Mus musculus: one gene and its partner. The protein of the gene in region 1 interacts with the protein of each later gene in a pairwise test. Links are inferred from orthologs where the notes say so. Each region holds a gene or a part of one and is shown on either strand. Other genes may lie near its edges. The genes, in order: Trim69 and Fkbp1b.

Region 1 (3,816 bases):
CCTGGAGAGAGAATAGCCTGCATTTCCTTCCAGATGATATACTGGATAGGACCTTTGAAGCGGCCTAGGCTCAGCTTTTTGGCGATGAGCTGTCTAGGTACAATTGTCTTCATTCCTTTCTCCATGCTGTAAGGGACACACAAACAGTTTAGTTTTAGACATTCTCCAGGGGTAGAAGAAGGAGGGTAGAGAGAACCATGAAGAAACACTTGCCTCTCTATGAGCTTTGTGATGTCCTAGAAGAGAAAAGAAGAAATAGAGAAGTCAGATGCCTGTTCATCATCTCTAGGAACTTCTCTGGTTATACTGAAAGCCATCCAGGTTTGATCATCAATACTGGCTTCCTGTACAGATGGTCCTCAGGCCATCGCCAACAACATTTCATCCTCTACAGACTTTGCTAAGCAGCATCCCAGGCTAACCCAGCATAAACTGACCTCTCACATGGTAACCTTCTGATTTTCTATAATTCCAGCTCTCATAGGAAACAAGAGAAGAGCCAGGAAGCCCATAGTTAAGATCAACTCTTTGAGAAGTGAGTGCTTCCAAATACTCCGCCAAGAAAAGATCAGAAACGATCTGAGGGGGAAGGGTAACTAGACTTCTGAGTGCTGGAGTGATCGCCAATCATCTGATCTCTAGAAGTGAGACTTCAGGTAGCAAAAGTTTGACAAAAAGCTTTTTAGATATATTTCAGTTTATAATTTCTGCAAGGCCCAAACTCTACAAACACTATAAGAGACATATTTTTTGAAAAATAAAGCTTCTGTGGTCTATATGGGGAAGTAAGAAAGAACTGATCCATGTAGCATTATTAGTGAAATTGTCCTATCACGTTTTGAAGGAAGATGAAAGTAAAAATTTCCACTGATCATAAAGTAAACATGGCTTCCTTTTTCTCCCCAAGGACCTACAAGCGCTCCAGTTAGTCGGGTTGGGTTGGGTTAAATTGGGTTGGGTTGGGTAGGTTAGGACATGGTTGGGTTGGGTTGAGCTTGGTTATGATTTGCTTTCCTTCCACCCCCCACTCCCAGTTTCTCTTCCCTCCTTCCAAGTGTCCCCATAATCAATTGGATTCAGAATCTCACTGTGAGGAAGTCGAAGGAGTTCTGCTGTTCCATCCGTGCCTGAATGGTCGCCAGCATGTCTTTGGCAACAAGACACTGCTCCTGAATCTGGTTCAGATTCACCTCCATCTCCTCATTCAAGAGTTTCCCCTCATCCCGGAGGTCATTTAGAATGTCCTTTTCTTTGTTGTGCAGAAACTGATGTAGCTTTAGAAACTCCAAGGAAAGGTTTTGTTGCAGTTGTATCTTGTTGTCCTGGAAACCTCCATAATCATCACCACGATTACTACTGAGACTAGCATTTGGGGAGAGGGACTTACACCACACCACACACCTTGGGGAATTTCACACAAATGGCTGCCTAGCATCGACATTCAATCCTAGTACACAAAGCCCTTTGGGAGGTTCATTCCTTCTTTCCCAACTAGTTTAATGGTGTAGGATGAGAGGCTTTGTTTTCAATTGTTGGTTTGTTTTTGTTTTTGTTTTTTTGGTTTTTTTTTTTTTTTTTGGTGATTAGATGATAAACTGTGCTCTCTTAAATAATGATGTGGAGTCAATCAAACATTCTAAAACAAATACTAACAATACTTTCCTAGGCTGACAAATTAGTATCTACCAATTGATGCTGTTAGACTAGGGAGACCTATCCTGTTAAAATCAAAACTACTCCTTTTGCCAGGACCACATAAAAGAAACAGTATATGAACAATGTACAAAGCACTAAAATTGAAAGTTGCTGCACTTGCAGCTTGTGTGTGAGTGTGCCTGTGCCTGTGCCTGTGCCTGTGCCTGTGCCTGTGCCTGTGCCTGTGCCTGTGCCTGTGCCTGTGCCTGTGCCTGTGCGCCTGTGCCTGTGCGCCTGTGCCTGTGCCTGTGCCTGTGCCTGTGCCTGTGCCTGTGCCTGTGCCTGTGCCTGTGCCTCATTTTCAACCACACATAGAATTTCATCATCCTCCCAAAATGCATCATTTCCAAAACAACTTTTTTGTTCCAAGTTCACTTGCTCCCTACTGCAGCACTGTTGAATCTCAATCAAAGTTTGTGTTCAGCCTGAGCATGGTGGTGCTTGGCTCTAATCCCAGCACTTGGCAGACACAGGCAGGCTGATCTATATGAGTTTGAGACTAGCCTGGTTTACAAAGTAAGTTCCAGGGCTGCCAGAACTACATGGAGAGATGGACCCTGTTTCAAGAAACTAATCAGTTTATAATCTTTGACTCTCTGTTTCTGTTTACACGTCTATCTTCACGGCTTGTCTTACGTAGCTTAGATCCCATGGACAACCATCACCACACTCTTTTTGTTTTGTTTTGTTTTGTTTTGTTTTGTTTTGTTTTGTTTTGTTTTGTTTTGTTTTCAAGACAGGGTTTCTCTGTGTAGTCCTGGCTGTCCTGGAACTCACTCTGTAGACCAGGCTGGCCTCAAACTCAGAAATCCGCCTTCCTCTGCCTCCCTAGTGCTGGGATTAAAGGTATGCACCACCACTGCCCGGTCCATCACCACCTCTTAAGGTAGCCTGACCTCCATCATTCTTCCAACCCATGTGTTTCCAGTTTCCCTTTCACCTTTCCCATGATTCCCCAGTCTAATTGGTTCTCCTTTCTCTAAACAAGTTTTAAATATTAAAATTAGTTGGTGTTCTGTCCTAAGCTTATTCTACACTTTCTAACCAATATCCCCCACCCTTACTATATATTAGATACTACCTAGTGCTGACAGCTTTCCCACAGCTTTTGAGCTCCAGACTTCTAAATCCAAATGCTATCTGATATCGCTATCCATTCCTCATATTTAATCCGTCACCATATCTATATAATTTCCTCCCCACACCACATGTTCTTGTTTATCTCTGTATATACACTGCCTCTTTAGGCTAATCAAGTACCTTTGTTCTTGACCTGTAAGAGTTTTCGAACCACGTGGTCTTATCATTGTCTCTCTAAGCCATTTTCCACACAGCCATCAGGCATTTTCAAAACGAGATGAAACTATGTAGTGCTTACAGATCTTTATTTTTCATGTCACAGGATCAAGTTAAAAATACTTCATTTCTTCCATATAAGGACCTGCATGATTGGGTCATTTCTGCCTCTTTAGTATTATCTCGCTTGGTGTGCTCTAGCTTTATTGGACTTTTTCTAACATCCTGTTTCTAGACTTTTCCATGTAGCTTTCTCTCGCCCTTCTACACTCTTCTCCAGGACCCTTCTTTCATATTCCCTCACACAGTTCATTTGATTAACTTACTGATCCTACAGTCCTCAAAAAAAATTTTTTTTTGGTAGTGGATCTCATGTATCCCAGGCTATCCTAAAATTAGATATGAAGTCAAAGATGACTTGAACTTCTGATCCTCCTTCTACCATCTGAGTGCTGAAATTACAGGTGTGTGCCATTGTGCCCAGTTTATGTGATACTGGCTGTATAACTCAGGGTCTCATGCCTGTTAGGCAAGCATTCCACCAACTGAGTACATCTCCAGCTCAAGTGACTTCTTCAGGTTCTCTTAGATTTCTCTTCATTGCTGAATTTTCCTATCATATGGTAATAGTAGCTATTGTTATTTATTGGTATTGCTGGCATCATTTAACAACTGTCTCCCATTGACCCATTCAATAAGTATTTGTTGAATGAACAAATATTGACTATAGTAGCTGAACTACAAAATAGAACAAAATTACCTGGATGCTTCAGTAACTCTGTCTGTCTTTCTTTCCCTGGGGATATGTATTTTTCCAGGTACCAA
Region 2 (4,301 bases), on another chromosome or scaffold:
AGACAGAGAGTAATATATGAACCCGTGAAGAAGAGAAGCACAAACCTAAATCTCAGATTGCTATAGAGTCATGATTACATCAAAGATGAATATCATTAACAAGAAATCAATAATGACCAGGCCTGTGCCCTCATATCAGAGATACATCGGAGAACAATAAAGACAGGAGCCCTGCTCTTCTAGGGTCTACCTTCTTTCTTTTGTGTACATGGGATGGTCATGTGGGGTGCAATGGAGTGGGGTGTGTGTGTGTGTATGTCACACCTAGCTTTTTTGGATGAGTGAGGAGATTCAGGCTCAAGTCTTCATGCATAGCTAGAGCTCTTAGCCACTGAGCCATTTCTCTGGTTTACATTCTAATGGAAGGAGACAATGCTCACATAAATATGATCATTACAGATGGTGATAAATCCTTTAAAGAAAATGAACACTGATGAATTTCAGAGAGACACAGAGAGCTGGCAATTTCAGAAAGGGTGAGCCAGGAAGGCATTTTGAAGAAGATGAGGTTTGAGCTGCTGCTTAAGAAGGAACCAACTCAAAAGACCATGAAGCAGGAAAAGATTGGTGCACTTTCAGAATAGGAAGGAAGAGGGTGAGATGGAGGAGAGGAACATGACAGTGATGCACCACGCAGCGTGCAGAGATGGGTCCCATACTAAATGCAATTGGAAACCACTGATGGGTTTAAAAGCATGGAAATGACCTAATCTGAATTAAGATTTTATAAGATCACTCTAGCTCCCGAGTGTGGGATGGATGGTTAGACATCTGTTGCTATAGTCTAGACAAGAAATCAATGGTTGCATGAATTAGCAGAGAAGAGAGTGAAATAGATTAGAGATACGTTTTGGAAGCAGGGCTGACAAGGGCATGCAAGTGGATGAGAGGAAGGAGCCCACTCCCCATCTCACCATTGAATGGTGGGAAAGGATTAGGGTTTGGGTAACCGGAAGGTGGTAGAGCTGTTCTGAGAGATGAGAAAACTGGAAAGGAACAGATTTGTGAGGGTGGCAATCTTGAGCTGCCCATTAGACATGCAAGTTTTTACTGCACAGAGGCAGATGCAGAGCCAACCCTGGATAAACAAACTGGGTGGAATAGAAAGCTATGAGACTGGATTAGGAGCTTGGGAACATAACAACACAGTCAGCGGTTAGTGGACTGTAGGAGCCTACCAAAGGAAGCCAGAGAAAGCCCCACAGAAAACAGTTAAATTGGCTGTTAAAAGATGGGTGGGCGTCTGTCTGGAGAAGTAAAGGGACCTGGGAAATAGAATTAGTTGTAAGACATGCTCGAAACCTGGAATCCAGAGTTGGGATGTAGCTCATGTACAGCAGGTGCCTAGCAAGCACAAGGGTTCCACCAGGAAACACACAAATCCTTAGGGTCCTAGAGTCCAGTCACAGTGAGAGCCCATTGGTTCCATCCTGTAACCCTAGGTCCAGCACACAGTGTACACGTTCCATAAATATCTGCTAAATGAGTGGTTTGTTTAACAACTCACAAGTGGCTTGGTGAAGTTGGTTGTGGATGCATGGATAGTAAGTATCGAAAGAGGAAGTGCCAGTGTGGATCCCTCCCGCCCTAGCAATCACCAAGAGGGCAGCTGCTTGCAGAAGTAGGGGGAAGAGTCTTTTAATGATTTTCTTCCTGAGGGAGGGGCCCTTAAAGCTCTGCATTTTAGGGGACCTGTGAGAAAAATGAGGGGACTGAGAACGGAAGTCAAATGGAAGGCGGGGAGAACGAAGATGGGGAGACAGCTCAGAGGCTGTGTGGGTGACAAGGCCTGGGAAGAAACGTGTATCTGCAAGGAGTGATCTGGGCAGTATCGGGTACTTCCAGGAAGCCCTCGGTTTGTAACCAAGAAGCCCTTTAACTCCCTGCGAAGGAGCATGCCAATAATATCCAACAGCAAGTTTGCTTGTTAAACACTCTGGACCTTGGGGGTGGCTTTTGGTCTGGATTAAATTTTGCTTAAGAAATAGCTACTCCTTGAATATGTTGAATACACCCAGTTTTCTAAATAGTTGAGGAAACTTGGTGAGACAGGGAACCCAGAGATAGATAGACTGGGAGGAGGGGGTGGGGTGGGGCGATGAACCAAATTATGGAACGCGAGTTGTTTTGACCTGGCTGACCCGGCACCATGGACCCCCCAGGAGGATCAAGCAGCAGGTCCGAAGGCTGGGTTTTGACTGAGGAGGGCATGGTAGAGGGCAGATGACCAGGAAGGGTGAGTAGGACCGGGAGGGTGAAATAGGAAGCAGAAGCAGCCAAAGGAGTGGCAGGCTCCCAAATTGGCTCTCTCCACAACTAACCACTGCCCAGCCCTGGGGGCCTCCAGACAAGAGGGGCGGGGAGGTGTGGTGCAATAGGAGGGGTTTCTCTGTACAGCAGGAACCCCCAAAGCGAGATCATCCCTGGAACCGAACAGGAAAAACGGAACAGAAATTCAAACCTGGGAAGTCAGTAGCAGCGGTTAATCGAGAGGTTGCAGCTCAGGAGATAGCAGCCGCAGCCTAGGACAGTGGCTGGACATAACCCCCTTGCCCTAAGGTGGCCGCCTTCACTCCCCAAGGTGAGCGGGCGCAGAATGGGATGGTGCGTTGTCCTCTGAAACCCACAAGAATCGGGGAAGGAGGTCTCCTCCTGTCGCCCGCATCTTTGACCCTCTCCCCGCTTCAGGTCCCCGGAGCCACCTCGGAATCAGATCCCAGCCCGCGGACTCCGCCCCGGGACCCCTCCTCCTCCCGGGCCCAGCCGCCCGGTACCGTCTCCTGGGGAGATGGTCTCGATCTCCACGCCCATCACGGTCCCACAGGCCCCGCCTCCAAGGGGGTCCTCGCGGCTGCCCCGACCCCGGCTCCGCTCTGGCGCGGACCCCGCAGGCACTCCCGCTCGCCTTCTTGCCGCCACTGCAGAGCCGGAGGAGGTGCGGCTGGAGTCAGGACCTGCGCGGGGAGGGGCCGCCGGGAAGGGGGCGGCGGGGTGGAGCTGTGCGACAAGGTGGGGTCGGCCGGGGCGGAGCCCGAGGGAAGCGACCCTGACGTGGCTGCTCCGGATCCTGGCCAGACTAACCACCATTAACCCACTGGCTGAAAGGGGAGGCAGGGTGAGCGAGGCGTGCCGGCACTAGCACATCCACACATCTATCCACTCAGTGTATATTTATTTAGCACCTACAGGGTGCAAAGCCCCAGGGAGTCCACTCAATCCTACAGACTAGGAGAAAGTCGGTAATTAAACTAACTCTTTAAATACGTGTGCTCAGTGCCGTGGGGTTCAGAGTAAAACGGAAGCACCCGAGACTGATACCTACCCGGGTTAGGCTTCCCGAATCTATTGGAGCAGAGCCGGCGAAGGGAAGAAACCAATTATTGACGAATTTTCCTCAACCACCTTAAGACCACATTCATCATTCCTCAAAGTTTTACAGCAGGTATATGTATTGGAGGTCTCACCTTTCAAGGTAAAGGACTGCTCCCTGGGGATTCCAACTGAATTAAAGGAGGATCAGCTCTGTGCTGAAGATACAGCGACAGCCTGAATGGTGAATGCTATAGAAGGAATGAATGAATTCTTTTACCTCTACCCAAACCAAACCAGGATCTAAAAAGATACTTTTGTCCTTCCCCAATCCGAATTCCGCTTCCTTGGTCCTGGGACTTGAATCCAGGGAAGCCAGGGCCTGTTCACTCACGCTAAGCTAACAGAGGTTACGTCCATGGCCCCTAGGAAGATACATTGGGAGGAGAAAACATTTGCTTGAAGGCTGAAGGAGACTTTAAGAAATGCCCCCCACCCCCATCTTTTCTACACCCGTTGCACAGATCTGAATTTGTTTCTGACAAGAGCCAATGGGAGGTGAGTATGGGAGAAGGACCTATTTATTCAAAGGCCCAGAACTGGAACTTGACGCATTTTCCTCAGTTTCTCCATCTCCACTCTTCCAAGTGGCTAGCTCGCAGATACTAGCTTGCCAGGATACAAGGACTAAAGTTGGTGCTCAGAAAAGCTGGTTTACGGTACTGTGCACGTTAGGATCAGAAAAAAACCCGTGTGTGTGCCCTAGAGTCGTCAGGGCTTAAGGCAAACAAACAAACAAAAAAGCTTAAGACACCCCACCCTCCAACCCTGACCCTCACCCCCCTACTGGTTATGGCCTTGGGCAGGTACTTTGAGATCGGGGTAGAACAGATCTGCTACTTGGGCAGGCCTACGAGGCTGGCTTCAGGTAAACGGATGTATTTACATTTTGGGAGTGATATTTTATGGGATTTTTAAATGTGGAGTTCTTG

The links.
Region 2: the proteins of Trim69 (region 1) and Fkbp1b interact in binary tests that used the Homo sapiens proteins (3 or more experiments, as listed by UniProt). The two-hybrid records come from large-scale screens. The link is inferred for Mus musculus from reciprocal best matches to the Homo sapiens genes TRIM69 and FKBP1B.

Annotation. Positions count from the first base shown.
Region 1 is NC_000068.7:122,170,660-122,174,475, reverse strand, and holds part of Trim69 (E3 ubiquitin-protein ligase TRIM69), read right to left. Parts: intron 1,331-3,816; exon of another isoform or gene 1,323-1,330; coding exon 1,089-1,322; intron 237-1,088; coding exon 214-236; intron 127-213; coding exon 2-126; intron 1-1.
Region 2 is NC_000078.6:4,838,625-4,842,925, forward strand, and holds the start of Fkbp1b (peptidyl-prolyl cis-trans isomerase FKBP1B), read right to left. Parts: upstream 2,950-4,301; 5' UTR 2,812-2,949; coding exon 2,775-2,811; intron 2,617-2,774; exon of another isoform or gene 2,462-2,616; intron 1-2,461. UniProt on the Homo sapiens protein: Has the potential to contribute to the immunosuppressive and toxic effects of FK506 and rapamycin. PPIases accelerate the folding of proteins. It catalyzes the cis-trans isomerization of proline imidic peptide bonds in oligopeptides.